4 linked regions of the Stegostoma tigrinum genome follow. The protein of the gene in region 4 interacts with the protein of the main gene of each other region in a biochemical or structural test. Links are inferred from orthologs where the notes say so. Each region holds a gene or a part of one and is shown on either strand. Other genes may lie near its edges. The genes, in order: ube2m, ube2f, ube2g2 and rbx1.

Region 1 (7,545 bases), about 14 Mb from region 4:
GAAGTAGTGAGTTGAGGAAGAGAGAGTCTGAGGTGGACCATGTGAAGGTGAGATTAAAGTGGAATTGGAAGCAAAACTGATGATGTATTCCAATTTAAAAGGAGAGGCTGGGCAAAGCATCAGTGACAGTTATGAATACTCTGAAGGATGAGCTGTGGGATCAGAACATGAGATGCTCCGGAAACAGGCAAGTGCAGTTATGCAGTTGCCCATAGCAACATCTTTAATTTAAGCAAGTCAATTGAGAAGCCATTCATTGTCAGGACAAATGCAGCCAGGCTAACGAAGATGTTGTTGGATGGTGACCAGTTTGGCCTCCATTCAAGGAGGAAGTGGAGAGCCCCCAGATTGCCCTGGAGGGTTTCAGAAGTTATGGAAGGATTGAGTGTCCCATGTGACAACCCACTAGGAAGTTGGAAACCATCAGGAGTCTCACAGATGTAAGCTGGATGAGTTTTTCTTTGCAATATTGATTAAGGAATAAATATTGATTGCCATATTCCCATTGCCTACATTTCTGTCTTAGGTTTGCTGCAGTGCTCCAGCGAGGCTCAACACAACAAGGAACAAGAAGATGACAATGAGCACCTCATGTTCTGCCTAAGTACCTTACAGCCCTTGGGAGTCAATGATGAGTTGAACAATTTCAGAGCATTAACAACTATCTCCACGTTCATTAGCCACCCCACACCCCCAAGCTTTCTTCTGCATGGATTATTCCCAGCACAGCCAACCCATTTTCAACTATTCAGACTTGTCGTTAGCACCCATTTAGCATTTATCTCTCTCCCTGTTTATGATCAGCAATCCCTTCGGATCCCTCTGGGCATCATCTCCATTTATTTGTCTCACTCATAAAGTCATACAGCCAACCATAATCCCAAACCATGGCTCATATCCCTGCAAACATTTCTTATTCATGTACTCATCTAAATGTCTTTTAAACATTGTAACTATATCCACATCCACCATTTCCTAGAATCATCAAGTCATACAGCATTGAAACAGACCCTCCGGCCCAACCAGTCCAGGCCGAACATATCCCGAACTAAACTAGCCCCACCTGCCTGTTCCTGGCTCATATCCCTAAAAACCTTTCCTATTCATGTATCCATCCAAATGTCTTTTAAACATTGTAATTGTACCATGCATCCACACTTCCTCAGGAAGTTTATTCCACACGCAAACCACACAGCACGTAAAACGTTCGCCTCATGTCTTTTTGAAATCTCTCTCCTCTCACTTTAAAAATGTGCCCCTTAGTCTTGAAATTCCCAATCCTAGGGAAAAGACAACTCCATCAACTCTATCTATACCTCTCATTATTTTATAAACTTCTATAAGTTCACCTCTCAACACCCTACGTTCCAGTGAAAAATGTCTAAGCCTATCCAGCATTTCTTGTAAACAGCTTGATAATATCGTTCCTATAACTGGGCAACCCGAACTGGACACTGTATTTCAGAAGAGGCCTCACCAAAGTCCTGTACAATCCGAGCATAACGTCCTAACTCCTATGCTGAAATGACTGAGCAATGAAGACTAGCATGCCAAGTGCCTTTTTAACCATCCTCTCTATATGTGACACAAACGTTAAAGAATTATGTACCTGCACTCTAGGCCTGTCTGTTCTACAACACTACCCAAGGCCCTACCTGTGTTTGTTGTACCAAAATGCAATACCTTACATTTATCCAGATTGAACTCCATCTGCCATTTCTCAACCCATTAACCCACTTGAACAAGATCCATTTGTAATCTTAGAAAACATTCTTCACTGTCTACGATGCCACCAATGTTGGCGTCATCTGTAAACTTACTAACCATGCCTTCCATATTCTCATTCAAATCATTTATATAAATGACAAACAAAAGAGAACCCAGAACTGATCCCTGTGGAACAGTGCTGGTCAAAGACCTCCAGTCTGAAAAACAACCCTCCCACCATCACCCTCAGTCTCTTGCTGTTCAGCCAATTTTGTATCCAATTGGCAAGATCACCCTGAATCCCATGTGATCGTGCTTGACCACTTAGTATGCCATGTGGAACCTTGTTAAAGGTGTTACTTAAGCCCAAGTAAACAATGTGTACTGCTCTTCTCTCATCAATCTTCTTAGTTATTTCATCCAAAAAACTCAATAAAGTTTGTGACACATGATTTTCCTTGCACAAAACCATGCTATTACTATTCATTCCTTGCCTCTCCAAATGCACATAAATCCATATAACTCAGTTAGCTCAGTTGGCTGAACAGCTGTTTAATAATGTAGATTGATACCAACTGTGTGGTTTCAGTTCACATATGGACTGAAGCTACCATGAAGCGTCCTCCCTTGCCTGGGGCATGGTGATCCTTAGTTTAAAATATCACCAATCTTGTCTCTCTCGAATGAAAGAGTGGGACTGTGGTGACAACTTTTCCACCCACTCAACCCGAACCCCACCCCACGTCTGTTATCAGCATAAATACCTCTACCCACCTGTGGCTTTCTCTGCTGAAGAAGGATCACTGGACTGAAAATATAACTCTGCTTCACTCTCCACAGATGTTGCCAGACCTGCTGAGTTTCTCTAGCAATTCTGGTTTTGTTTCAGATTTCTAGTATCCACAGGTCTTTGTTAAATATAGGCCAGGACTGGTGATGTCTCCCTTGCTCTCCTTTGAGATAAGGGAAATGGAAGCTTTGACATTTATCTGAGAGGGCAAGAGATGGCATCTGCAACCTTCATTGTTAATGTGGGTATTTATGCTTAAGTCTCTGGAGTGGAACGCACATTTCTTTGACTCAGGGATGAGTATGCTCCCAGCATGGTACATCTGCTATAGAATAAGGAAAAGAAAATGTCTACACACACAAACATAAATGTGAATTGCTTTGTCACGCGACTGACCTAACTGACAGATAATCCCATTATCACGTTGTTTGTGCCTGCTGTGTTTCCCACATGGCAACAAGTGTCTATGCTTTAAAAAGAACTTTAAATCGCCTATATAACAAAGCGTGAAGCTGGATGAACGCAGCAGGCCAAGCAGCATCTCAGGAGCACAAAAGCTGATGCTTTGGGCCTAGACCCTTCATCAGGGCTCTGATGAAGGGTCTAGGCCTGAAACGTCACTTTTGGACCCCTGAGATGCTGCTTGGCCTGCTGTGTTCATCCAGCTTCACACTTTGTTACCTTGGATTCTCCAGCATCTGCAGTTCCCATTATCACTTTAAATCGCCTGTGATGTGTCTGGAGCCTCGTGAGCCATTCAAGCCCCTTAAGTGTGTCACTCACTGTCTCTTGTGTCACCATCCACAGAATGTGTCGCTTATTGCGAAATGTGTCTCTCATTTCCCACCTCTGTGCGTAACCCATCTTGTAAGCGTTATAAGTTCTGAGAAAGGATCACCGGACCCGAAATGTTAACTTTGTTTTCTCCGTCACAGATGCTGCCAGACTCGCTGAGCTTTTCCAGCAGCTTTGTTTTTGTTCCTGATTTACTTTCGGTTTTTATTTTGCAAGTGTTTCACCCATTGCCCCCCATCATGTGATGCCCATCTCCCCTTGTATGGCACCCATTTTCCCCCCATCGTGTGACACCCATCTCCCCTTGTGTTATAGCCATCTCTCCTTCTCCTGCACTGCTCAAGGTGCAGTTGTGTAAGAACCGAAAGAACTGTGGATGCTGTAAATCAGGAACAAAAACAGAAATTGCTGGAAAAGCTCTGCAGGCCTGGCACCATCTGTGAAGGAAGAGACAGAGTTAATGTTTTGGGTCCGGTGACCCTTCCTCGTGCGAACTGTTCATCCACTTCACCAACCACTTCCATCCCAACCTAAAGTACTTAGGTTTTTGTGCAATGATAATGGGAACTGCAGATGCTGGAGAATCCAAGATAACAAAAGTGAGGAGCTGGATGAACACAGCAGGCCAAGCAGCATCTCAGGAGCACAAAAGCTGACGTTTCGGGCCTAGACCTATCTAGGTTTTTGTGCAGTGGTGTTGCCGTGTGAAATGAGCAGGAACTTGAGCATTCAACACAGTGCGCCAAACTGCAGGAGATCCGCCTCTCCCATTCAGCCCCGCCCCATTCACTCGACCACGCCCATGTCACTCACCTGGCCACGCCCCCTCAAATCAGTCCCGCCCATTTGCAACCTGCCGCGCCCCCTTTTCGGCCCCTAGACTTTGAATAGTCTCCTCCCCCATCATTCAGCTCCGCCCCTCCTGCACCGGCGCCCTCACCTCTAAATTCCGCCTTGTCACTTAGCCACGCCCACCTATTGTGACCCGCTTCACGTTTTCTCGCTCCGCCCCCCCAATGTATCCATACTCACACAACTGACCCCGCCCATATCCTTCAGATCAGCCCTCTCCCATGTAGCCCCGCCCCATTCTTTAGTTCCGCCCAGTCACATGTAGCCGCGCCCACGCCGGTAACAGCGCCCGCGTCCTCTAGACCCGCCCCCAACGCTATTAGGCCCCGCCCCAACGCCTTAGCCGCACCCATTCCCTTGGCTCCGCCCAAGCCCGCTAACCATCCACGGGCTGACCCCGCCCCCTTGCCCTCTGACCCGTTCCGCTCCCACGCTGCCCCGCGCTCTGCTCCCTGCCCGAGCGGCGGCTCCGTGTCTCCCTCCGACCCTCAGCCTGAGTCCCGAGGCCCCGCCGCCGCCGCATCATGATCAAGCTCTTCTCGCTCAAGCAGCAGAAGAAGGAAGAGGACGCCGCCGGAGCCGCCAAGACCGGCACCAAGAAGGCGTCGGCCGCGCAGCTCCGCATTCAGAAAGGTAACGGGAGGCCGGGGGCTCGGCGAAGCCAGGGCCCAGGGGAGGGTGAAGGGATCGGCGGGCCAGGCCTCTCTGAGGCACCGGGGCAAGGGGTACTGTTGTCGGCGGGGGTTGGAGACCGGCCTCTGACCCACAAGGAAGGCCTGGAAGCAGCTAGGCCTTAAATGGAGCCTGGGATCCGATTCGACCGGCTTGCTTCATGTGGAGAGGGCTCTGCTCCGAGGTCAGGACTGCGAGAGACCCCAGGATTGCCGGCGGGCAGAGACAGAGGAGAGGATCTGGGTGCTGGGCTCCTCAGAACGCCCTTCCCCAGGGTTGGGTGCAGTTGCCCCCACCCCTTTCCTCCCCTCATTATGGCCTGACTGTGGGGTGAGGAGAGGGTGTCAGGGATTTCCCCCAGGTTCAGTGGGCTCCTGATGAAAGCACTGATCTGCCAGGGTGAGGCAGCTACAGCCAACTGCTTCCTAACTGCCTGGTAACTGGTACCAGTTCTGGTCTTTGACCACCGTGTTGCCGTCTCTTGAGGGGAACCGCAGTTGCAATCTGTCACCTCAGCCCATCCGTCACCCCCTCCCTTCGACACTGATATAATCCCTACCCTCTCAATGCCTCCACTCTTGTAATCTGCCACCGACACCAATTCCAGGGTTACCATTCCTTGGACTCCTGAACCGGTTGTCCCAGCACCCAAGAAGTTTGAAATTTGCCAACAAAATATCAGGTTTCTTCTCCAAAGCGTTAAGACAAAGAAGGATATGTAGTCCCATACTTGCAATGCTAGTTTGAAATTGGGGCTAGATGGAGTTTTATTAAAATCACAAAACATCAGTTGCAGAAGGTGGTTTTCACACATTGGCAAGTTGATGACTATGCTTGAATGGGATGGCCTGTGGGGGCAAGGAAGAAGTTGGAGGTTCTCCAAACATAGTTGTTAGAGTGTGCTGCGCTGCACTCTGGGGAATATTTTATGTTATCATTTAAGAGGAAGCTGGGGAAGCCTTTGAAAGGCTGCAATATAAAATATTTCAAGGGAAAGTAACTACATAGCTCCTGTTGAAGTGCTCTTATTGACTCGAAGGCAAAGTGCTGTAATTTCTAGATTTTATTTGGCCTGTACACTTGGAATGTACTGCTGCTGACATCCATCCACATTGGAAATCTCCTCACATAACCAGTCATCCATTTCTAATCTTTGACAAAAGGTGGCGGCAGTAGCTGGTACTCCAGCTAGCCATTCATCATGCCCACTCATGGACAGGCATTGGATTTCTGAATGCTGTTTCACTTTCTTTCCTAAGCCTTTATCCAGCTGATCAGTCATTGGTTTTGACCCAAGGTTGACAGGGATAGGTTGGGGGATGTGTCTGGGTCAGATGCAGTTCGGACGGTTGATATGGACTCGTTGGTCCAAACGGCCTGATTCCACAGTGTGGGGATTCTATGAAAATGTGAATGCCATCCCCAAAATAACTGCTGCTCTGCAGAATTCTGTCATTACCTGAGCCCCACGTATTTTTGGATTGTGTAAGGGGACACATGTTGGGAAATGCTTTATCCAGTGTCAACGATTTACAGATCACTGGACCATGGAATGCTCTGACCCAGACGGCAGTGGAGGCCAACTCTCTGGACAGTTTCAAGAAAGAGATAGATAGAGCTCTTAAAGGTAGTGGAATCAAGGGTTATGGAGATAAGATAGGAACAGGATACTGATTGTGGGTGATTGGCCATGAATGGTCGTGCTGGCTCGAAGGACCAAAGGGCCTACTCCAGCACCTGTTGTCTATCATGATAGGGGCAGGAGGAACGGACCATTACTCACAAGAGGACCTAAGGTAGGGAAATCCTGAGGTTGTATTGATCAGATAAGGAGAAAGAAAGGGGAACTGACCAAATACAAAGAGAGTACAGGTGCTCTTTCTACATAAATATGTTTTTAGAATATTTGTCAGTTCTCCAAAATGTTTTGAAAGATTTATATTGGAAAATGAGCACTGTTCAGTCAATTTCAAGGTTACTTTATTTTCTAAATATCTAATAATTTGAGTGCCACAAGTTAGAAAGCACTATATGTGAGGGGTGTTCTTTATGGTGTTGGCCTCTTATTTAAGGGAAGAAGTAAATATGTTGGAGACAGTTAAGGTGAGGTTTAGCAGACTGATACCTGATGAGCGGGTTATCTGTAGGTTGGACAGACAGGGCCTGTTTTCACTAGTTTAGAAGGGGTGACTTGATTGAAATGTGTAAGGTTCTGAATGGTCTTGATAAGATGGACTTGGAAAAGCTGTTTCCTCTTGTGGGTGAAGCCAGAGCTTGGGGACCCTGTTGCACAAAGATGAGGGATTTATTGTTTTCTGAGAGTTGTGTAACTTTGCCTCAGCGGACAATGTAGTTTGGATCACTGAATATTTTTAAGGCAGAGGTAGATAAATTCTTGATAGCTTTTGATTCAAATGACCATGAGGAGCAGATGAGAATGTGGAATTCAAAAAGCAAACAAATCAGCCATAATGTTATTGATTGGTAGAGCGAGGTCAAGGGGCTGAATGGCCATTTCTGCTCCAATTTTGTATGTCCGTATGGAGGATCTTTTCGTCTTTAAAAAAAGCGTTCTGATTGCTTTTAGGTACTAGCAGCTGATTATTGTTGAGGACCCTATTGTGTCAATCGTCCTTGCACTTCCTCTCTCTCGACTAATGTGAATTCTGTTCCCAGCAGCTGGTCAGCTCTTCCCCATCTGCCTGTCTGCCTGAGGTTATCACCCCTTC
Region 2 (7,444 bases), on a different chromosome or scaffold from region 4:
TAGTGGCCTGTGCCTGAGTGCTGTCCAGGCCTCGCTACACTACAGCAAGAACTGCTTCAGTATCCGAGGAGTTGCAAATGCTTCTGAACAGTGTGCTTTCATTAGCAAACCTCCAGCCTTATGTTATATCGGAGGAGATCCGTTTTATTAAAGATTAACAAAATTCCTTCAGTTATACACGATTCCTCTTAGCAAAAACCAAGAATTTCAAGTACTCATCTGTAACTGCCCTGCCACCTTCAAAGACTTATGTACTCAAACCACCATGGGTCTCTCTATCCCCGCAACCCTTTAAAACTGTACCACTAAACTTGTCCTGTCTCTTCAGGGTCTATCAAAATGCTTCACCACGCACTTCCCGCTAAATTCATCTGACATGCATTTGCCCATTTTCACCAGTCTGTGTCCTGCTACTACTGTCCTCCTTATTGTTTATTCTACTTCTAAGTTTCATATTATCTACAAGCTTTAAATATCCTGTGTAGCCAAATCAAGATGATTGATATTAAAAGGTCGTACCTCCCTAACTCACCAGCCCTGAAACAGGGCCTTTGTCAGACTGGAGAATTTGCTGGACTACAGGAGATTGCTTGTCAGGATCAACCTGGGAGTTTCTAAACCATTCTTTTCTATACTCCCACACCACTTTACAGAAATTAAACGACAGGTACTGTCTTTGTGTTAGTCAATTGCCTGAAAATCAAGCAAGCCTATAAAGGCCTATGCCTAGAGTTACTATTACTGGTTCTGATAAAATGGGGTTCTCATGTTCACTTACCTGAATACCTGTGAAACTCATGTGATATACTTAGAAGAGATAAGCAATGAGATGATTTTGTAGATTAGGGGTTGGAATTGCGGTGTTTACATTGGGTGACTGTCCTATAGTTATCAAGCAATTGGATGGGGGATGAGGGGTTGGAATGGCACATGCTCCACTCCCCTAGAACATAAGCAGGCAGGAAGGAAAAGTTATGTCAGATGAAAAACTTTAAGTTGGATGAATCCCCGCTGGCTTCAGCCGTCAGAGTTTCTATTTTATACATTGCCGGGTGGGAAACTGAGGAGAGAAGAAGAGGAATCCTGTGGGACTGAATTTTGCAATTTGAATTTAAAGAGAGTCTACTCACAACTGGTGAAGCAGCAATCACTTAATATTCAGGGCAGCCAGATTATGGTAGCTCAACGAAAGAATGTCCAGAATTATAAAAAGAAAACAAGAAGCCTGAAGAAGTATTTCAAAAACCAGATAAAAGGCATGACAAGACTTTGTGGTTTTACTTTTCACAAAGCAATTTAAAATTTAGTTAAATTAAATTATTTGCTGTAAAATTATGTCTGAGGAAGCAAGCAGATCTTTAATTTAAGCTAATTGCTAATAAAACGATGTAATGCTACAGACTAATAGATGATATTGATGATTACTTTTATTTGACTAGTTATTAGGCACAGAAACTGTAATAACTTCAATGTGCCGTATATACATCACTGCAACTGCTTTAAGGTCAAATGACTTCAATTTTAAAAAAAGTGCCCGATCCAGTTTGGCATCAGAAGTCAAGCAGAATGATTGGTCTTTGACTGAGAGATTGTAAATACCAAGTGCAATGACTTTCTTTTGCCACCAGATGGTGATGTCAGCTCTGCATTCATCACCTTGCACTTTTGCAGCATATCTCCACTGTACAGTTTCCTGAGTTGTCCAGTCCACGGTGTGAAGCAGGGGAGGACCCAACTAGAACTGGAACACAGAAGGCTTTTCACAGATCCACGAAACAGGCCAGTATAGCCAGGATCTAAAATTGATTTCCCTAGCAAGATAAATATTGGTGAACCAGAGGCACAAGTATCCACAGTGTTATGATATCGTGCATTAATGGAGTCCTGGCTCTAACATGGGTAGGAGTGGGAACTTCATATTCCTGGCCATTTGGCCATTACTGCTTTCAGGGAAGATGAGGAGCAAACAAAAGCGGGAATGATCAAAGACACTTCGGGCACTAGAGAGGTTGATGTTCAGTCTTTGTACAGTCAGGGAAAATAACAAGGTATAAAGTGAAGTGAATTTGCCAAACCAGAAGGTAGATAACTTAACCTGGGTTGAAAGAAGATCTAGCTCAGGTGGATAGGAACCAAAAATGACACGTCAAATGAGGATAGGGTTTAAATATAGATTCTTAATTTCCTATGAATGGCACCAAAACTGCAACTGTACATTTCTTTCATGGTTCCCATCTGCATTTTTCAAACCAAGTTGGCAGAAGGTAATCAGATTTTGGATAAAAATTTTAATTCTGGGCATGTGAATAAGTTTTGATTGAGTTATGAATCTCACAACATGTCCTGGATTTTAAAAAATTCTTTCATTAGTTGCTAGCAAGGAATGCATTTGTCACCCATTCCTAATCACGCTTGAGGATAGTTAAGAGCCAACCACATTAGGCTCAATTACCCCACATTTTACAGGACCATCCGATAAGATAATGGCAGAGTTTGATGCTTCAGCCAGAGCTCATCCATTCTGCCCGTTCTTGTTCTTCTTTTCCTCCCTCTTTGCCTCCCTTCTGCGGTTTACCTCTCCCCTTCCGTCTTCTCGGCCTCCCGGCTTTGGAAGTGGGGGCAGCAACCAGCTGCCTGGCCTAGTGCAGCGTGTGGCTGCTGCCAGTGTTCAGAGCATGTAGAGACCCCCTGCGCTTACCTGCTGCTGGGAGCCCTTGGATCGAGACTGTGAGGTTTGTCTCTTTAACTTTGGTTATACTGTATGGAACTGTAATGTAACTTTCTTTCCATTTCTCTATTCTGTAACTGAGGATTGTATGTGGTAATCTGTACCTCAGATGTCACCATGTCCAGGTGACATTAGTTAGCGTGTAGCTAGTCCTGTAACTGAAGAAGCTGTACCTCACATAGCACTGTAAATGGCAACTTATCAACTTTTCACTGTACTCATTTGAGAACATGACAGTAAAGCTAATTCTTTCAATTATTCCATGAGGCAACAATCATTTAGAACATAAAACATAGAACAATACAGCGCAGAACAGGCCCTTCGGCCCTCAATGTTGCGCCGACCTGTGAACTAATTTAAGCCCATCCCCCTACACTATCCCATCATCATCCATATATTCACTTATCATCTGCAACCAGAGGATGGAAAGTTGGCTTCCAAGAGGAATGCAAGGCCAGCATTTATTTCACCTGTGACAGCTCTCTGGTATACCAATGATTCTTAACATTCCTGTCAGCTCCTAGAATATATCTGCATTCTTTAAGGCAGTAGCCACTGAGAGAGTGAAATCTTTTTATCCTACTCACTGCAAAAACAGCTTGAATAAATATGCAAACATGATAAGGAAAATCCCATCTAAGCTAAAGATATGCATTACATGTGATTAAACACAGATATTTTGTCAATTAAATAAATTATCCTGTAACTACCAAAGACAGCTATTCTTTCACCACCAAAAGAAAAGGATCTTGATGGCTTTAATCATTAATTAAATGTTTCAATATTAAGCAGTTTTTGAGGATCTGATTAAATGGATTAATTTTTTCAACACTCTTTGGAGGCTTCAAAAAGATTTATACTTGGTTATTTGCTGCCAGGGCCTTTTTTTTTGATAAGTACTGTCCTTTCTGTTCTCCATTGCTCATTCTCACACAATATACTAAATACCTTGTATTGAATTGTCAGATGGTCTAAAACATTACCTCAGGGTTCTGGAACCTCAGTTTTGATTACTCCTCCCTGCACATAAATCACTTAAAAGCTGAAAAAAATGATAATACAGCAGGATGATCACAAAACAAAAGGAGAAGTTAAGTTAGATGTTTGAGCTTTGAATGTTTCACACCCAGAATATATGTCTGAGAGGAGAACTGTACTCATTTTTACTCCCAGCGTTTCACCAGCGACCCCACTACAAAACCTCACTTGTTTTCTTTGCAGAAATCACACAGGGGACACAGAAGGTAAGGAATGATGGCAGATTTCCTTCCACAGACTGCTTCAGTAAGCCAGCTAAGCCTTTACAACAGCCTTACCATTGGTGACATCAGTGAGACTGACTTTAGAAGCGAGATTTTAAGAATTTAAATAAGTTTCACCAGCTGCCAAGGTAGCTTTATAACTGTTCTACCCCCAGGGCAGATGGATGAATGATCCAGTGTCATGACCCCTCTTTAGAGTGTAAACCCATGAATGTGGCCAGAGATACAGAAATGCTACAAAAACAAGCCTTGGAAACCAGAGAAACAATCTCCTTACTCACCAGGCAGTTCCTTCGCCTTCTGGAAACTGATCCCGGACCGAGGCCGTACCGAACCTCTCGGTGTCCGGACTTGTTCCTTGGCTCCGTACCGCTTGTTGGTCCCTAGACAACGGCGGACAGAAAAAGGTGACGGACCCGCGGCCTGTAGCGGAAGTGGTGGGCGGTGGGGCGGAGGTGTTTAGCGGTGGGACCAGGTGAGGAGATTTCCGGTAGCGGCCTGTCGGCGCGGCCGGAGCCGGTTGAGGGATCGGTTGCTGGAGGCACCGGGAATGGTGCGGGAGCGCTTGGTGCTGTCGGTGACAGAGAGGGAGAGCCGAGGTGAGGAGCCCTTCCGTAACCGTGGGAAACATTTCTCAAGTGAGCCGCACGCTGCTGTGGGAAAGAGGGCAGTCAAAACGCGCACAGAAGGATCCCACAAGCCGTGTTGTGACCCTGACCAGATATATTCTGGCTTTAATCAGGTTAACTGAAGGGAAGTTATTGGGCATCAGGGAGATCACCCTGGAAATAGTACCGCAGGCTCTTCTACATGCCCCCATGAGGGCGAACATGGCCTTGGAGTATCTGGAGGTTGGCACCTCTGCCTGTGTAGTCTGCTCTAACCCAGAGCCTACCGCAGTGCTGTGTTTCCAGTATCTACTGGGCTTTATCATCAAAAATAGGGTTTTAACCTCCAAGTTTCTGGGTAGGTGAGCGATACACCAAGAGTGGTGTGCATCGTCGGCATATATGTTTAGGGAGAGAGCTTGTATATAAACATACATGTTGTGTGCGGCATCTATAAATGTATATCTACTCCCAACAAGCCTATAGTTCAATTCATATGATGCCCTTTCACAGTGGAACATGGATACAGCTTAAAAACAGGAACCCCACCGAGTGGGGATAATTGAGTTAGTCAAAGGTGTACTTTACGAAATACCTCCAAGAGGATGACAGACACATACGATTGTTTTTAGAAATCCAGACCATCTGGCATAGATTGCACTATACTACAGTTTGTATTTGAGTAATCTAGTCTGCTGTTTGATATTCTACTAAATACGATTTAATACCATTACCAATTTGGATTTCATTTTGTTGCGGTTTTGTGACCTACAAGTTCTGTCAGTGGTGTGGTTTGCAGCATTACAGACACTGTTGTTGTTATAGTACATGTTCCATAATTTTAGATGTGCATGTATTAAATTTGACAGGATATTGTGGTGAGCGTTGGATGTTCGTATTTAGTAAGCCATGATAGAACATCAGAACTTAGTTTTTGTATACCTATAAGCTTTTATTTACAGCCATGTTGTACATCATGCACCTCCAACTAACAATCCTCCGTTCCGCCTGCTCTGAGTGTAGGTCAGTCCCCAATTAATGCTCACTATCCTTTAGATAAATTAACACAGCGATAAACAATTCCTCCCGTGTCTTTAAATTTTTTTTAAATTGTCATACGCATAAAGACTTCCATTTTGTGTTCAGAGCCTTGCATTGCAAGATCACCCTCCTCCAGAACCCCTAATAACTTCTTTGACCTCCTTTACTGAAAAGGGCTAACAGTTAATTAATTTAATTACTTTAAACCAGGCCATTTATTTCAGAGATAAAGGTGTAAAGCTGGATGAACACAGCAGGCCGAGCAGGAAGGCTGACATTTTGGGCCTAGACCTTTCTTCAGAAAAAAAAGCAGAAATTGCTTTCATTTCTGCATTAGTTTCAAACTAACAGGATCTCACTACAACTTTGGCACACTCATGTTTCATAGAGCATTTTATCCCAAAGTGCATGCAGTATCTTCAGTACTCCTACTTTACAGAATACAGCTTAAAATATTTGTCAAAGAGAATCACGTTTCCACAAGGGTCAGTTTTTCAACACCCGGAGTACCTTCAACAACTCTCATTTCTTAGCTTCGCGGGGTAAAGGATGACATTTCTCATTCTCTTTGAAAAGAAATTCAGTGAAACCAAGTACTCTGGTGTATGAAGCTTTATGAAAATAATAACCAATTTCATTCATGTTTTTCCGACCATTTAAGGATGGGTAGTTAACTATATATTTTTGCCAGATTTTCAATTTATTTTATTTGATTTGCCCTTGAAATTTACTGCTGCTTTTTCATCAAAAAAATACTTCATTTCAGCACCTCAAAACTAGTACCTTGGTGCACTCAGAATCAACATGAGCTTACCTAGCCAATCAAACTTTGTGCTGTAATTACTTTGTCTCTTCCTCAGATACCACTTCACTGTTCTGTGATGACCTTGTACAACAGTCTCAATTTTACTCGATTTAATTTTAAACCAGATCCAGTTTGGCCCCACGGCCCTAACTTCCAATTTCAAATACTGTGTAATCTTACTATCGAATCCCACCACAGCAGGTGGAATTTGAATTCAATAAATGTTTGGATTTAAGAATCTAATGATGACTTGTGAATCCATTGTCGATTTGTCATCTGGTTCACTAATGTCCTTCAGGGAAGGAAACTGACATCCTTACCTGGTCTGGCCAACATGTGACTTCAGACCCACAGCAATGTGGTTGACTCTTAACTGCCCTCTAGGCAATAAGGGATGGGTAATAAATGCTTCCTAGCCAGCGACGCCCTCATCATGTAAATGAATAAGGAACTTTAAAAATTGGACTCGTCATACAAATACAGTTTCTACAAGAGCAGCTCAGAAGCTCGGAAAACTGCAATGAATAAGTTACCTCCTGACTTCCGAAGCCAGTCCATTATCTACAAGTCCCAAATCAGGAGTGTGTTTCAGTACTCCCCACTTGCTTGGATGAGTTCAGCTCCAACAATACTCAAGCTTGACACCATCCAGGACAAAACCACCCACTTGATTGACACCACATCCACTCCGTCCACCATCAACACTCAGCAGCTGCAGTACGTACTATTTACAAGATGCACTGCAAAAATTCACTGAAGATCCTGATACAGCTAATTCCAAACCCGCAACCACTTGATCAAGAAGTACCAGGATAGCAGATACATAAGAACATCACCATTTTCAAGTTCCCCTCCAAGCCATTCACCATCCCGACTTGGAAATATGTTAAGTGTTCCTTCACTGTTGCCGGGTCTAAATCCTGGAATTGTCTGTCCGGGGACATCAACACCACCTTTTTGAGGGATACCTGTGTCCACAACTGAGTAAATAAACTACTTG
Region 3 (7,299 bases), on a different chromosome or scaffold from region 4:
TACAGCACATGTCTTGGCGCAGTCCAAGAAGACAATTCACAACCACCTTCTCAAGGGCAACAAGGAATGGGAAATAAATGCTGCTCCAACCAATGACACATGAAAGAATTTTTCAAAAGTAGTCAGCAGGTCCTGCAGAATCTGTCCCATGAGTCACAAGTGAATTAAAATAAGATTCTACCTTCATGGACGCTGTCAGACCAGAGTTTTTCCATCACTACTTGCTTTGGTTCCTGGCTTCTAGCATTAACAGTGTTTCCCCTGTTTTTTGTCAATAAAGTGCAGGTTGTTATGATATTGCTGTATGTGAGATCTTCCTGCATATCACTTGCTGTGCAATGTACAACAGTGACTGTATTTCAAAAGTATCTCACTGGTTGTGAAGTGCTATAGCATAGCCTGAGGTCTTATAAAGGAGTTATTTAAGTTAAGCCTTTCTTGCAGAATTAAACTTGTAACATGTTTGGGGACACCGGCGACATTACTTGACAACATGCAAAGCTGCTGCTGCCGTAAGACCTTAAATGCAAGATATGTAGGCCATGCAGATGATTAAACGTGTTCTGACATTCAATTAGTGTGATCTAATTATCGTCAACTCCACTTTCCTACCATTTCCCCATAATCCTTGATTCGTTAACTGATTATAAATATATCTTCACCTTGAATAAACTTATGGACCAAGTGTCGATAGCCCTCTGCAGTAAAGAATTCCACAGATTTACTACCCTCTGAGAAGAAATTCCTCCTCTATCTTAAAAGAGTGATCTCTTATTTTAACTCTCCCACAAAGAGGAATAACCTTTCTGCATTTATCCCATCAAATTCCCCGAGAATCTTATACATGTTTCAATGAGGTCTCCTCTCATTCTTCCAAATTCCAATGAGTACGGGCTGAACCTATTCAACCAATCCATGCAAGAAAATCCCTCCATACCTGATGTCAGTCCAGCGAATCTTCTCTGGGCTGCCTCTACTACAAGTTTATCTTTCTTTATCTAAGGGGGCCAAAACTGCTTGCCAAATTTCACTGGGTTTTGACTGGTGCTTTGTGTAGTTTTAGCAAGGCCCTCCTACTTTTATACTTAACTTCCTTTGAAATAAAGGCCAACATTCCTTTTGCTTTTCCTATTACCCACTGAACATGATTGCCAGTTTTTCATGATTCATGGATGACGGCTCCCAAATTCCTCTGTACTGCAGCTTTCTGTGGTCTTTTGTCATTGAAATAATATTCAGCTCCTCTATACTTCCTGGCAAACTGCATAACCTCACATTTTCCAACATTACATTCCATTTGTTAAGTTTCTGTATACTTACTTAATATGTCATATCCCTCCACAGATTCTTTGTGTTATCTTCACCACTCACCTATTTTGTGTCATCCTCAAACTTTCCTCATCTAGGTCATTAATATTTGTATGATAAATAATTATTATGTCAGCACTGATCCAGGTGGTATTCCATTTGTTACAGATCCCCATCCAAGAATTGAACCCTTTATCCCAACTCCAGCTAACTAATATAAAACGAACCTTATCTATGTTAATGTACAACTCCCTGTTCCATTGACTCTTATTAATTAGCCTAATATGTGGTACCTTATCAAACACCTTCTGCAAACCTAAATATATTAAATCCAATGTTTTCCATTTATCTATACTGCTTGCCACGTCCTCAAAAGAACTTTAGTAAATGTCAGGCATGATTTCTACATCGTAACTCTGCTTGATTATGTTATGCATTTCTGAAAAACTATTAATTCCTTTATAATAGACTAACATTTCACCAACAACAGATATTAAGCTATCAGTTCTACAGTTACTGTTTTTGTCTCCCTCCCTTTCGGAATAAAGATATTACCTTGGCAATTTTCCAATCTTTCGGGCCCTTTCCAGAATGTAAGCAACCCTGAAAGATCACCAGCAGTGCATCCACTATCTCTGTAGCAACTTCCTCTAATATCCGAGGACGCGACACATCAGGACCAGGGGGAATTTCTCGATCTTTCACCCAATTAGTTTCCCTAGCATTTTTTTCTCTACTGATAGATTTATTTTCTCGCTCCCTTTTGCCCCTGGATTACTTAGCAATGTCAGCCCCATAGCCATGTCACTCAGTTTAGAGTAATCATAACGATGACAAACTAGTGGTTACTACACTGGAACAAAAACAGAAGTTGCCGGAAAAGCTCAGCAGGTCGGGCAACATCTGTGAATAAAAAATAGAGTCAGAGTTAAAGTTTCATGTCCGGTGACCCTTCCTCAGAACAGCAGGAACTATACTGGAATGTGCTGGTATTAATTAACATTTAGCCTTGGATCAGCAGCGACACTCTCACCTCTCTGAGACCTGATCGCACGATGTGGATCATTGATGGTCTCAATACCGTCTGCCTGTCCAGGAGAAGAATTCCCCGTTCAATATTCCCTACGTTTTTCCCTAATTCAGGTGCCTTCAAACCCAAGGCCTTCCCCCATCTCCAGTGGGCTCTTTAAGTGGCCCCAGTGATAATGGAAACTGCAGATGCTGGAGAATCCAAGATAACAAAGTGTGAAGCTGGATGAACACAGCAGGCCAAGCAGCATCTCAGGAGCACAAAAGCTGACGTTTCGGGCCTAGACCCTTCATCAGAGGTCTGATCATCTGATGAAGGGTCTAGGCCCGAAACGTCAGCTTTTGTGCTCCTGAGATGCTGCTTGGCCTACTGTGTTCATCCAGCTTCACACTTTGTTATCTTTAAGTGGCCCCAACGCCCGATGATCCGCCGCCTCTGGGCAGTCCCAAGGCTCCAATGCCCTCCCGGGCGCTGAGGCCTCTCTCTCTCCCCCGGCCAAACCCCTCACCTCTACGTTCACAACTTACGCTTGTACTCGGCCATCAGCCGTTTCAGCGCCGTCCCTGCCATCGCCGCGACCGTTAACGACGTCACGAACGAGAGGTTGCGGGGAAGGAAGGAGAGTAAAAGAGGGGGGAACGGTTACACCGACGCACCCGTCCTACTTCCGGTGGGGAGGGAGGGAATTCAGCGACGGACCCCCCCGCGCTTCTTCCGCTCCTTCCTTTGTCTTCGCCCCGTGGGGGACATGCCAAGATGGCGTTGTTGCTCCGTGTCCTCTGTCTCCTCGTCGGCGTGGCTGCTCTCGGCGGCGGCCAAATGTACGGGGACGGGGGAGCTTTCAGTCCCGGGCAGACAGGCGGCAACGAGGCGTCGGTGGCTCAACAACGCAGGTAACGGACGGGGAGCAAAAATATCAAGAGGGGCGGTCAAAACGGAGAGGAGTAACAGTAATAACGGTCAGAAGAGACAGTAATACTCAACGGGATCAGCATTAATGGTGAGTGGTGACAGTAATACTCAACGGGATCAGCATTAACGGTGAGTGGTGACAGTAATACTCAACGGGGTCAGCAATAACGGTGAGTAGCGACAGTAATACACAACAGGGTCGACTATATCGGTGGGAACGGACGGGAACGCTCAACGGGGTCAGCAATAATGGTGAGTAGTGACAGTAATACTCAACGGGGTTGGCAACAACGGTGAGTAGTGACAGTAATACTCAGTGGTGTCGGCAATAACGGTGGGAACGGACGAGAACACTCATCGGGTTCGGCAATAACGGTGGGAACGGACGAGAATGCTCATCGGGGTCGGCGGGAACGGATGAGAACGCTCTTCGGGGTCAGCAATAACAGTGGGAACGGACGAGAATGCTCAATGGGGTCAGCAATAACAGTGGGAACGGACGAGAATGCTCAATGGGGTCAGCAATAACGGTGAGTCGTGACAGTAATACTCAATGGTGTTGGCAATAACGGTGGATAGTGACAGTAATACTCAACGGGGTCAGCAATAACAGTGAATAGTGACAGTAATACTCAACGGGGTTGGCAACAATGGTGAGTAGTGACAGTAATACTCAACGGGGTCGACAGTAATGGTGGGAACGGATGAGAACGCTCAACGGGGTCAGCAATAATGGTGGGAACGAATGAGAACGCTCACCGTGGTCAGTAATAACAGTGAGTAGTGACAGTAATACAAACAGGGTCGGCTATATCGGTGGCAACGGACGAGAACGCTCAACAGGGTCAGCAATAGCGGTGAGTATTGACAGTAATACTCAACGGGATCGGCAATAATGGTGGGAACGGACGAGAACGCTCAACGGGTTCAGCAATAACGGTGAGTAGTGACCGTAATACTCAATGGAACGGTGGGAACAGACGAGAATGCTCAACGGGGTCAGCAATAACAGTGAGTAGTGACAGTAATACTTAGTGGGGTCGGCAATAACGGTGGGAATGGACGGGAACGCTCAACGGGGTTAGCTATAACAGTGAGTAGTGACAGTAATACTCAACGGGGTCAGTTATATCAGTGGGAACGGACGGGAATGCTCAATGGGGTCAGCAATAACAGTGAGTAGTGACAATAATATTCAACGGGGTCGGCAATAACGGTAGGAACAGATGAGAACGCTCAATAGGATCAGCAATAATGGTGAGTAGTGACAGTAATGTTCAACGGGGTCAGCAATAACGGAATGGACAAGAACGCTCAACAGGGTCAGCAATAGCGGTGAGTAGTGACAGTAATGCTCAACAGGGTCAGCAATAATGGTGGTAATGGACAAGAATGCTTTTTGGTTACTTATAGGATAGTAGTCCACAGTGTAATTTTTCTTTCTAACGCTTGTGGGATATGGGTGTTGCGAAGTGGACCAGCACTTATTTTCTGTACCCAGGTGGTCAATCCACCTAATCTACACATTTTTGCACTGACAGGAAACTAGAGCACCCAGAAGAAAGTAACACAGACACAGTCACCCTAGGCTGGAATTGAACCCAGGTCCCTAGTGATATGAGGCAGCAGTGCTAATCAGTGAGCCACTGTACTGCTGTTGTGGGTTAGGGAATGGGGGAGGCAGTAGGGAGCAGCGATGGAGGTGATGGGAATGGTTGGAGAGAGGGTGAGGGGAGAGCAAGGAGTGAATAGAGATTAGGGAGAGCAAAAACTGGAAGGGACGGAGAGTGAGGTAAGCTGGACATGGAGAGTAAGTGGTGCGTGGAGGGCGGATGAAAAGAGGAGGGAGAAAGGGTGGAGCAAGGCAGCTAGGGAGAGAGGGGGCATTGGATGGTCAGGAGGGGCAAAACATTGAAGATAGAAGAGGGGGAAATGGGGGAGGCAAGGGCGAGATCACAAGTCTAGAGGCAATGTGAAGGTGAAATGGGACGATGGGGGGCCGGGGGGAGAGATGAGGGAGGCTGGGGCAAGGTGAGGGGGGAGGTGAGTGGGAGGCAGAGTTGGGGTTAGGGACAGAAGGAAGTGGGAGTCGGGTGAGGCCAGGGGGTAAGGAGAGAGGGAATTGGGGGGAAGATTGGTGTTCAAGGGGGAGGGGAAGGCTAGGGGTTTGAGAGGGGAAGCTGGAGTCAGAGAGGAAAGGTGAAGTTTGAGGGGGGGAAACAGGGAAAGGCAGATGGTGCACAACATCGGTGGCATAGCAAGGGAGAATCGGGGTAAGATGGGAGGCAGGAATGGGGAGTTGAGTCGGGGTGTTGAAGGGAATGGTCAAGTGAGGGGGATTAGGGAAGGGGTACAAGGAGACAGGAAAGAGAATATGGGGGAGGAAGGTGTGGGGAGGGAAGATGGGCAGAGAGCGGTTGAAGAATTTGGTGGATGAAGCTGATGGTGGTGATCTGGGGGAAGGCAACCCTGCTTGTGGTGGAGAGGGGAATGTTGGTGGTGAACAGAGGTAAGTGCTGATGTGGTGCATTCTGGGGAGTGGTGGGCTGGTGTTGAGTGTATTTCGAGAAGTGCAATAGTGTGGGAAAACAAGAGGAATGGTGAGGGTTGGGGTGGTTTGGACGAGTGGTTGGATAATTGCAGAATGGCGGAGTTGTGTGTCGCTTGGAGGAATATGGAGGTATCTGGCGGGTTACTGTAGGGAAGTGATAGTAGTATAGTTGGTGAGGATGGTGTGTAACTGTTGTCATGAGAATTCATGGGTCCTTATTTGATATTGAGAACTCCAAGGGAAATGTCTGTTCGACTTGTGCTGCCCCCTCTTTCAAATTAGTCTGTGGTATATGAATGTCATTGGCGGTGTCAAAATTTATTGGCCATCCCTAGGTGACCTTGATAACAAAATGTGTTGTTGGATGAACACAGCAGGCGAAGCAGCATCTCAGGAGCACAAAAGCTGACATTTTGGGCTTAGACCCTTCATCAGAGAGCTACAAGAGCGTTGCAGTGGGAGAGAGATTCCCTGAGATTGGACCAAAGGGAGGAGGGTAACTTCAGGTTTGGCATCCCTGGAAGAGGCTTTGCACTGAGGTTAAAATTGTGATCAGAGATAATGGGTACTGCAGTTGCTAGAGAATCCAAGATAACAAAGTGTGTAGCTGGATGAACACAGCAGGCCAAGCAGCATCTCAGGAGCACAAAAGCTGACGTTTCGGGCCTAGACCTTGCTGCTGGTAACCTATAGGAATTTTAAAAAGCAAACCATTGTAGATTCTCTCCTATTGGTGTGACAGAGCTAACAATGTGTGGGAAATTATAAGGTGAATGACTACGAGCCGAAAGGACAGTTCTCCTGGTTTGCTATTGGCAATAAAAATGGCAAAGGGTGCCAAAATGACAGGAGGAATATAATCAGTAGAAAATGAGGTGGGTTAAGCTCTGTTGTATTAAATGTTATGCATAATTCTATCAGACCCGCTGATGGCTACAAGACTTTATCATCAAAACTTTAACTGCCTTTACCTTGTCACACTGTAGTTACAGCTTCTAGAGATGATGCACTGCCATCACCAGTCGGAAGTGAAATTAAATTCTCACATCCTATTCTGTTACACCATTCTCATCACATTCAGCCCTAGTCCTCACCCACCCTTAGCTACTCTTTCCGGTACTGCAGAAATATAATCTATTACAATGCACTTTGTGACTCTTAATAACAGAGGACATAGAATATTTCTATGAAGTGCAATATTTTATATCCCTTTAGGTATTTATTATATGATGTGAATCCACCAGAGGGATTTAATCTTCGTCGAGATGTCTATCTCCGTATGGCGGGCTTAGTGGGCACCCTGCTGAAGAGTGAAGACTGGGTGCTGGTTCTTCCTCCCTGGGGGCATCTCTACCATTGGCAGAGCGAAGGTCTTAAACAAGTTCGAATCCCTTGGTCTTTATTCTTTGATGTGCCAAGCTTAAATAAGAACATTCCTGTCATTGAACACGAGCAGTTTATTGCAGGTACCTTTAATTATAACCTGCCTTTGGAAATT
Region 4 (7,156 bases):
ATAGAGTCTGCATTGACCCTCTAAAGAGCATCCCACCCAGATCCATCCTATCCCCATAACCCTGCATTTACTATGGCCAATCCACCTAGCCTGCACATCTTTGGGCTGTGGGAGAAACCGGAGCACCTGGCACAAACCCATGCACACAAAGGGAGAATGTGCAAACTCCACAGAGAGTCCCCCAAGACTGGAATTGAACCTGTGGTTGCTGGCGGAGTGAGGTAGCAGTGCCAAACACTGTACTGCCCTGCCTCATAGTGCAGCACTACCATCAGCTAATTGGATAGATTTCAAAGAGATCTAGCAACTCGAAACTAAGCATCCATGAGGTACTGTGTACTATCAGCAGTAGAATTACATTCCACTACAACCTCTAATCTGACAGCCTAGCGCGCTCCCATAATGAACAAACTTGCGATTGACCCTGGTTCAAACAAGAATGGAGGAGGGCATGCCAGAAGCAGTGTCAGACATACCTAAAAATGAAGTATGAACCTGGTTAAGAAACATTGGACAAAGTATTTAAATAAAAGCAAAATGCTGCAGATGCTGGAACTGAAGCAAACAGAATGCTAGAGAAACCCAAAAGGTCTGGCAGTATCTATGCAGAGAGAAACAGTTAACAATTTGAGTTCAGTATGACTTCTGAAGGACAGCCATACCAGACGTGAAATGTTAACTCTGTTGAATGTTGCTGCACTTGTCTACCATGTAGTCACTTGGAGTCATAGACATAGACAGCACAGAAACAGATCCTTTGGTCCAACTTGTCCATGCCGACCAGATATCCTATATAAATCTAGTCCCGTTTGCCAACATTTGGCCCAAATCCCTCTGAACCCTTTCTAGTGATGTACCCATCCAAATGCTTTAAATGTTGTAATCATACCAGCCTCGACCACTTCGTCTGGCCGCTCATTCCATATACACACCATTCTCTGCGTGAAACAGTTGCCCCTTAAATTCCTTTTATATCTTTCCCCTCTCAACTTAAAACTATTGCCCTCTGGTTTTGGACTCCCCCATCCCAGGGAAAATACCTATTTACGTTATCCATGCCCGTCATGGTTTTATAAACCTTTATAAAAGTCACCCCTCAGCCTCTGACTCCCCAGGGAAAATAGCCCCAGTCTCTTCAGCCTCTAGCTATAGCTCAAACCCTCCAACCCTGGCATCATCCTTGTAAATCTTTTCTGAACCCTTTCTAGTTTCACAACATACTATAGGAGGGAGACCAGAATTGCACACAACACTCCAAATGTGGCCAAACCAATGTCTTGTACAGCCACAACATGACCTCCCAACCCGTTTATTCAATGCACTGACCAATAAAAGCAAGCATACCAAACACCTTCTTCACTATCCTACCTACCTGCAACTGCACTTTCAAGGAACTATGAACCTGCACTCTAAGGTGTCTTGTTCAGCAACGCTCCCCGGGACCTTACCATTAAGTGTACAAGTCCTGACCTGATTTGCCTTTCAAAAATATAGCACCTCACATTTATCTAAATTAAACTCCATCTGCCACTCCTCAGCTCATTGGGCCCATCTGGTCAAGATCCCGTTGTACTCTAAGGTAACCTTCTTCACTGTCACTAAACCTCCAATTTTGGCATCATCTGCAAACTTACTAACCATACCTCCTACAGTAACATCCAAATCATTTGTACAAATGACAAAAACCAGTGGACCCAGCACCAATTGTTGTGGCACATCACTGGTCACAGGCCTCCAGTCTGAAAGGCAACCCTCCACCACAACCCCCTGTTTTCTACCTTTGAGCCAGTTCTGTATCCAAATAGCTAGTTCCCCCTGTATTCTATGCTATCTATCCTTACAAACCAGTCAGCTGTGAGAAACCTTGTCGAACACCATTCTGAAGTCCATATAGATCACATCCACTGTTCTGCCCTCATGAATCCTGTTACTTCTTCAAAAAACTCAAATTAGCGAGACACGATTTCCTATGTACAAAGCCATGTTAACTATCCCTAATCAGTCCTTGCCTTTCCAAATAGAAGTAAATCCTGTCCCTCAGGATCCCCTCCAACAACTTTCCCAACACCGATGTCAGGCTTCATGAGCAAAAGAACAGAGATGACACGAGGGAAGTGCACTTGTGATCTGGAAATCACTGAAAACGTGACGGAACCAGATTCAAAAGTAGCTAGATATCTGAAGGGAAAATACCTCCAGGGCCAGGGATAAAGAGCCGTGTAATAGACTGTTATTTTGAAGGACCAGTAATGACATAATAGCCAAGTGGCCTCCTTCTTTGCTATATTATTCTGTGGATCAATTTTAAAAGTAGTTATTTGGGTGAATCACTTCAAAACATTTCAATGTGAAATGGAAGAACTTTCAATGTCGATATTTTTAATCAGCATGCTCAGATTCCTCACGCTTTGCCTTCTGCCAGTCAGCCATTCCTCTGGCTCAACCAATACCTTGCCTCTAACACAATTTGGGGCGGCACGGTGGCTCAGTGGTTAGTACTGCAGCCTCACAGCGCCCTCGGGTGACTGTCTGTGTGGAGTTTGCACTTTCTCCCCGTGTCTGCGTGGGTTTCCTCCCGGGTGCTCCGGTTTCCCCCCGACAGTCCAAAGATGTGCAGGCTAGGTGGATTGGCCATGCTAAATTGCCCGTAGTGTTCAGGGTTGCGTGGGTTATAGGGAGATGTGTCTGGGTGGGATGCTTCAAGTGGCAGTATGGACTTGCTGGGCCAAAGGGCCTGTTTCCACCCAGTAGGGAATCTAATCTAAAAAAAACCATCTTGTTTCCTTAATAATGGATTCTAAAATCTTACCAATGATTGACCAGGGCTAACTGGCCTATAATTTCCAGTCTTTGGCCTCCATCCCTTCTTAACCAGGTGTTATATCAGCCATTTTCCAGTCCTCTAGGTCCCTCACTGATTCCAGTAATTCCTGAAAGATCCTCCAATGCATCCATAATCGCCTCAGCTATCTCCTCCAGACACTTGTAGTCCAACTGGTCCTGGTGATTTATCCACCTCCAGACCTTTCAGCCTTGCAAGTATGTTCTCCTAAGTGATGGCCACCACACTCATCTCTGTTCATCGACATTCTTTCAGTTCTGGTATGCTGCTGGTGAATTCCACTGTGAAGACTGATGGAAATTAGATCAGCCGTGCTAGCTAGAAGCACCAAGTGGCCTGCTCCAGCCTCCAATTCATGTGTTTTAGTCTCGCTAAGGTGTGATCAGTATCTTCTACATTGTGAAAAGTTTTGAAGTGCTAATTTCACATCTCCACCAAGTCTTGCACAAATTCCCACTTTGGTCTCCAATTGGCCCTGCTTATCTTTTTACCACTCTTCCAGTATCCATAAGTTTTATGGAAGAATTTTGCGTTCAAGCTGCCAGCATTCTATCTTTGCTTCGACTATTTGCTTTTATCAAACCCCTCGGAATATTCCACGTTCAACATGCTCAGTTGTATTCGATGAAGCACAACTGACGTCAACTCCAATAAAAATCAAATTCCACATAATTGAAACACAAAGGGATTTGATTTCCTGGTGGTGAGGATGGTAACAACAGGGCAATGATCCCCAATAACAGCGGCCATGGCCTCGTGGGGGTGAGGAAGAAATCACGGCAAACCACTACCTGCAGGTGGCGCCATGCCGAGATGGGGGCGGTGCTTTGTGTAGGCGGTCACTTCTGGGGGTGGGCTTTGTGCATCTCATCCGGGTGGTCCTACCATCGGAGGCGGTACTAGGTGACGACATAGAGAGGCGAGGCTTTACTGGGGTGACGTTACGGAAAGTGGCGTGGCTCTGTGACGCCACACGGTGATGTTTACGTGCCAGTAGGTGGGCAGGCCTTTGATGTACAGCGGGTTTGGTGGCGAAATAGCGGGAGGAGGTGGAGCTCTGCTTCGTGCAGTGGGCGTGGCCAGAAACGCGTTGCGAAGGGGCAGGACTTTTGTTTGGGTACCTCCACAAGAGAGGAAACGGAAACTCCGGGGTGTAGACGAGAACATGTGACGTAGAGGCGGAGCTTAGTGGACTCCTGGCCCCTCCATACCGGAGGAGGCGGGGCTGAGTACAGTGTTTTTGAAGTTTAGTGTTGTCGGGATCCTCGTGACGCTAAGTAGGCGGGGCGTTAACCAGTCGGCTGCGCATGTGCAAATTGAACATAGCTGATTGGTTGGCAACAGGTAGCCACCGGCTGAAGGCAGACAAAATGGCGACGGCAATGGATGTGGACGCACCAAGCTCTACCAACAGTGGCGGGAAGAAGCGCTTCGAGGTTAAGAAGGTACAGTATGCTAGGATGCAGGATACAGACTGCTTCCAACGGAGCAGGGCTGGGTATTGAAACGTGTGATGTTTCCAAATCTGGCAGTTTGAAGCGGATCGAAACACGACCGGATGTTGGCGGCTTAATTGGCAGCACCAGCTGACTAATGGTGGCCGTGAGCTAACCGTAAGAGCATTGGGCAGGTTCTTGCGCCCCTAGTGTCTCCGTGCCCCCTAAATCTCATCCCGCTCCCACCTCCTGCCATCTTAGTCTGACACGCTCGCACGCCCCCGGCCTGCCCTTCCTGAGAGGCGCAGACTGCTCGCTTGCTGCTTTGTCATTGGGCCTCTGTCACATACATGTGTTTGTTTTTAGGCCGCTGGGTGCACGTCTGTTTCTCAGGGAGACAGATGACCAGAGGAGCGGGTGTGGACTTGTTACCAGCAGCTCCTGATAGTATCTTCCAGTACGGACCCATTTTAACACTCTACAGAAACAAACAGTTCACTTCCCGCTCACATTCGTACGTGCATTTTTGGTATATTGTTTAACAATAAAAGTAAGAATTGCTTTGTAATTGAAAATAGGAATTGCTGGAAAAACTCTGGGTTTGGCAGCATCTGTGAAGAGAAAAGTTAAATGTATTGAGTCCTCAACTTTATTCCTTTATCCCAGAGAACTAAGTTAATTACAGTTTATATTAAATGATTTCAATGTATTAGAAAAAAATGAGTCCTACCCTGTGCAAGAAGTTCTTGCTTTTTTTTAAAAAAAAGCTTTTCAATGGTGCAAGTGAGTTCAGAAGTAAACTTGTCATCAGACTTGAGGGGTTGTAGCCCTTGTCCCTGCATGCATTTAACAGTAATAGAGACACTTCCATTGTTCACAAATGTTTTCACTTTTCTCAGTTATTTGAGAGAAAAACAAATATTCATTGTCAAAATGCTGTGTAAACTTAAAAGTTGTATTATAGGTTGACATGTAATTGTTACAAATACATAATAATAAATTTTATGATGTCTTTTTATAAATGTTATTTTGTGTACCTGGATCGGTGTGAAGGCCTAGTGGTATTGTTCCTAATGCTCTGGTGATTTCAGTTCAAATCCTGTCTTGGCAGGTGTGGAACTTGAATTTACTAATTAAAAATTGGAACGAGGAGTCCAATAATGACATGAAATCATTGCTGTTTGTTGGAAAAACCCATCTGGTTCATTAATTTGCTTTAGAAAAGGAAACTGCTGCCCATGTTTGGTCTGTCCTACATGTATCATCAGATCCACACCAATGTGGTTGACTCTAGGGGTGTGCAGTGATTTAACGTGAGCCAATCTGGGTCATGGATCTGGCATGTTGGCCAGAAAAGAGCAGAAATATAGACTCTAGTCTTCAGGTGACTGATGTTGGATCCCAGATTGTTCTGTAGTATCACAGTTCTGGGTTGGCTGAGACACGCCACTGTTCAGCTTGGGGGCACCCGATACCAGGGACCAGACTTTATAAATGGGAGTGCTTCTGCAAGAAACATTATATGACTGTTTGTTTGTTTGTTTCTGTGGTAAAGAAATGAAGTAGCCCATTGGCCATAGAGAGTACCAGACAATAGCAGGGTAAGGCTGGATGCTGTCTGGGATGTGATGCTGGTTGTTATCTAAGGGGAGACAGTTCTTGTGATATGATTGCTTTTGCTTTTGCTCCTCCAATTGAGGTTGTTGTTTTCAAAATAGTTTGGAACTTACTGCCCCAAAGTGTTTAAATTCCCTTGAGTTTCTCAAATTTAGGTGCAGCCTAAGCATGAACATTTGTGGTGAGTGCAGTCTTTAATGATATTTCTTCATTTGGCCCTTTATAGAAAGCTGTGCAGTTGGTCATTCAGTCTTTATCTGACATACCTGTGTTACACTTAGTGCAGTCTCGTCTGCCAGTATTTGCTTCTCACTAATTTCTCTTATTACATTATCTCATTCTGCCAGCATATTCTTTTACTCCTTTCTCCCTAAGTACCAATCCTGCTTCCCTTTAATTGCAGTACATCTAAGCTATACCTTAGTACCTTCACCCTGAATTTCTTAGTGGACATATCAATGACTGTGTTTGTTTTATGAACTGCATGGCTGCTGATGCTGCAGTGATCAGGAATGTAGTAGGTCTGGAGGTGACTACGGAAACTAGAATATGCTAAATTCAGTTTCTAATAGTTGCCAAGTTAACTCCTTTCAAGGCCTTTTAGAATGGGCAGCAAATGCCAAACTTGTTGATATTTGCATCCTAGGAATGAATTGGGAAAGGAATTTAGTAATAGATTCAGAACTTGTAAGTAGATGAAGGAAAGAAAAACTCTCTGTCTAGGTCTCTTTTTCTCTCTCTTTTCTTCTCTTCCTCCCACTCCCCCCCCCATCAGTAGGCAGTGATCCTCTTTTAAAGTGTCATAAGTATTTGAAGCTAATATCACATTCAGTTTAGAGCTTAATGTTAAATTGTTGTTCTGCTGATGTGAGTTTTTCCAGACTGTCCACTTATTTCCCACTTGGTTATGGTGTGGTTTGTCCAATATCTGCAAATAATGTGATGGTACAGAAGTCCAATGATATTTCTTTCATTTTTTTGAGGTTATTTTAAGAGTTACTTGAAAACTGAATTGAGGGATTGTGTAAGTTTTTTTTTAAACTATTTTGCGTTCAAAGTTTTGCGGTATACGAAGCATTTACAAACTTGATGGGATGATGCAGTGGAAGTGTCTCTTCAACGTCATGTCATGCTTTTATTGACATTGCACGTACACAGCACCACAAACCAGGGTCTGAAATCAGAACTAGGAAAGCATTATTCCAGTCTAAGATATTTCAAGAGCGCAGTGCGAAAGGGGGCGTGCAATTGTCCATTTACT

Evidence for each region.
Region 1: the proteins of rbx1 (region 4) and ube2m form a complex in vitro, tested with the Homo sapiens proteins (15 studies listed by BioGRID and IntAct, with this or other methods). The link is inferred for Stegostoma tigrinum from reciprocal best matches to the Homo sapiens genes RBX1 and UBE2M.
Region 2: the proteins of rbx1 (region 4) and ube2f form a complex in vitro, tested with the Homo sapiens proteins (2 studies listed by BioGRID). The link is inferred for Stegostoma tigrinum from reciprocal best matches to the Homo sapiens genes RBX1 and UBE2F.
Region 3: the proteins of rbx1 (region 4) and ube2g2 form a complex in vitro, tested with the Homo sapiens proteins (3 studies listed by BioGRID). The link is inferred for Stegostoma tigrinum from reciprocal best matches to the Homo sapiens genes RBX1 and UBE2G2.

Annotation. Positions count from the first base shown.
Region 1 is NC_081391.1:19,879,773-19,887,317, forward strand, and holds the start of ube2m (NEDD8-conjugating enzyme Ubc12), read left to right. Parts: upstream 1-4,535; 5' UTR 4,536-4,668; coding exon 4,669-4,777; intron 4,778-7,545.
Region 2 is NC_081360.1:19,939,745-19,947,188, reverse strand, and holds the start of ube2f (NEDD8-conjugating enzyme UBE2F), read left to right. Parts: upstream 1-4,437; 5' UTR 4,438-4,589; intron 4,590-7,444. UniProt on the Homo sapiens protein: Accepts the ubiquitin-like protein NEDD8 from the UBA3-NAE1 E1 complex and catalyzes its covalent attachment to other proteins. Together with the E3 ubiquitin ligase RNF7/RBX2, specifically neddylates cullin-5 (CUL5).
Region 3 is NC_081360.1:17,279,988-17,287,286, forward strand, and holds the start of ube2g2 (ubiquitin-conjugating enzyme E2 G2), read right to left. Parts: upstream 3,013-7,299; 5' UTR 2,909-3,012; coding exon 2,866-2,908; intron 1-2,865. Other genes in the region: pofut2 (GDP-fucose protein O-fucosyltransferase 2), read left to right, coding at 3,095-3,231, 7,017-7,267. UniProt on the Homo sapiens protein: Accepts ubiquitin from the E1 complex and catalyzes its covalent attachment to other proteins. In vitro catalyzes 'Lys-48'-linked polyubiquitination. Involved in endoplasmic reticulum-associated degradation (ERAD).
Region 4 is NC_081391.1:5,552,180-5,559,335, forward strand, and holds the start of rbx1 (E3 ubiquitin-protein ligase RBX1), read left to right. Parts: upstream 1-4,154; 5' UTR 4,155-4,212; coding exon 4,213-4,287; intron 4,288-7,156. UniProt on the Homo sapiens protein: E3 ubiquitin ligase component of multiple cullin-RING-based E3 ubiquitin-protein ligase (CRLs) complexes which mediate the ubiquitination and subsequent proteasomal degradation of target proteins, including proteins involved in cell cycle progression, signal transduction, transcription and transcription-coupled nucleotide excision repair.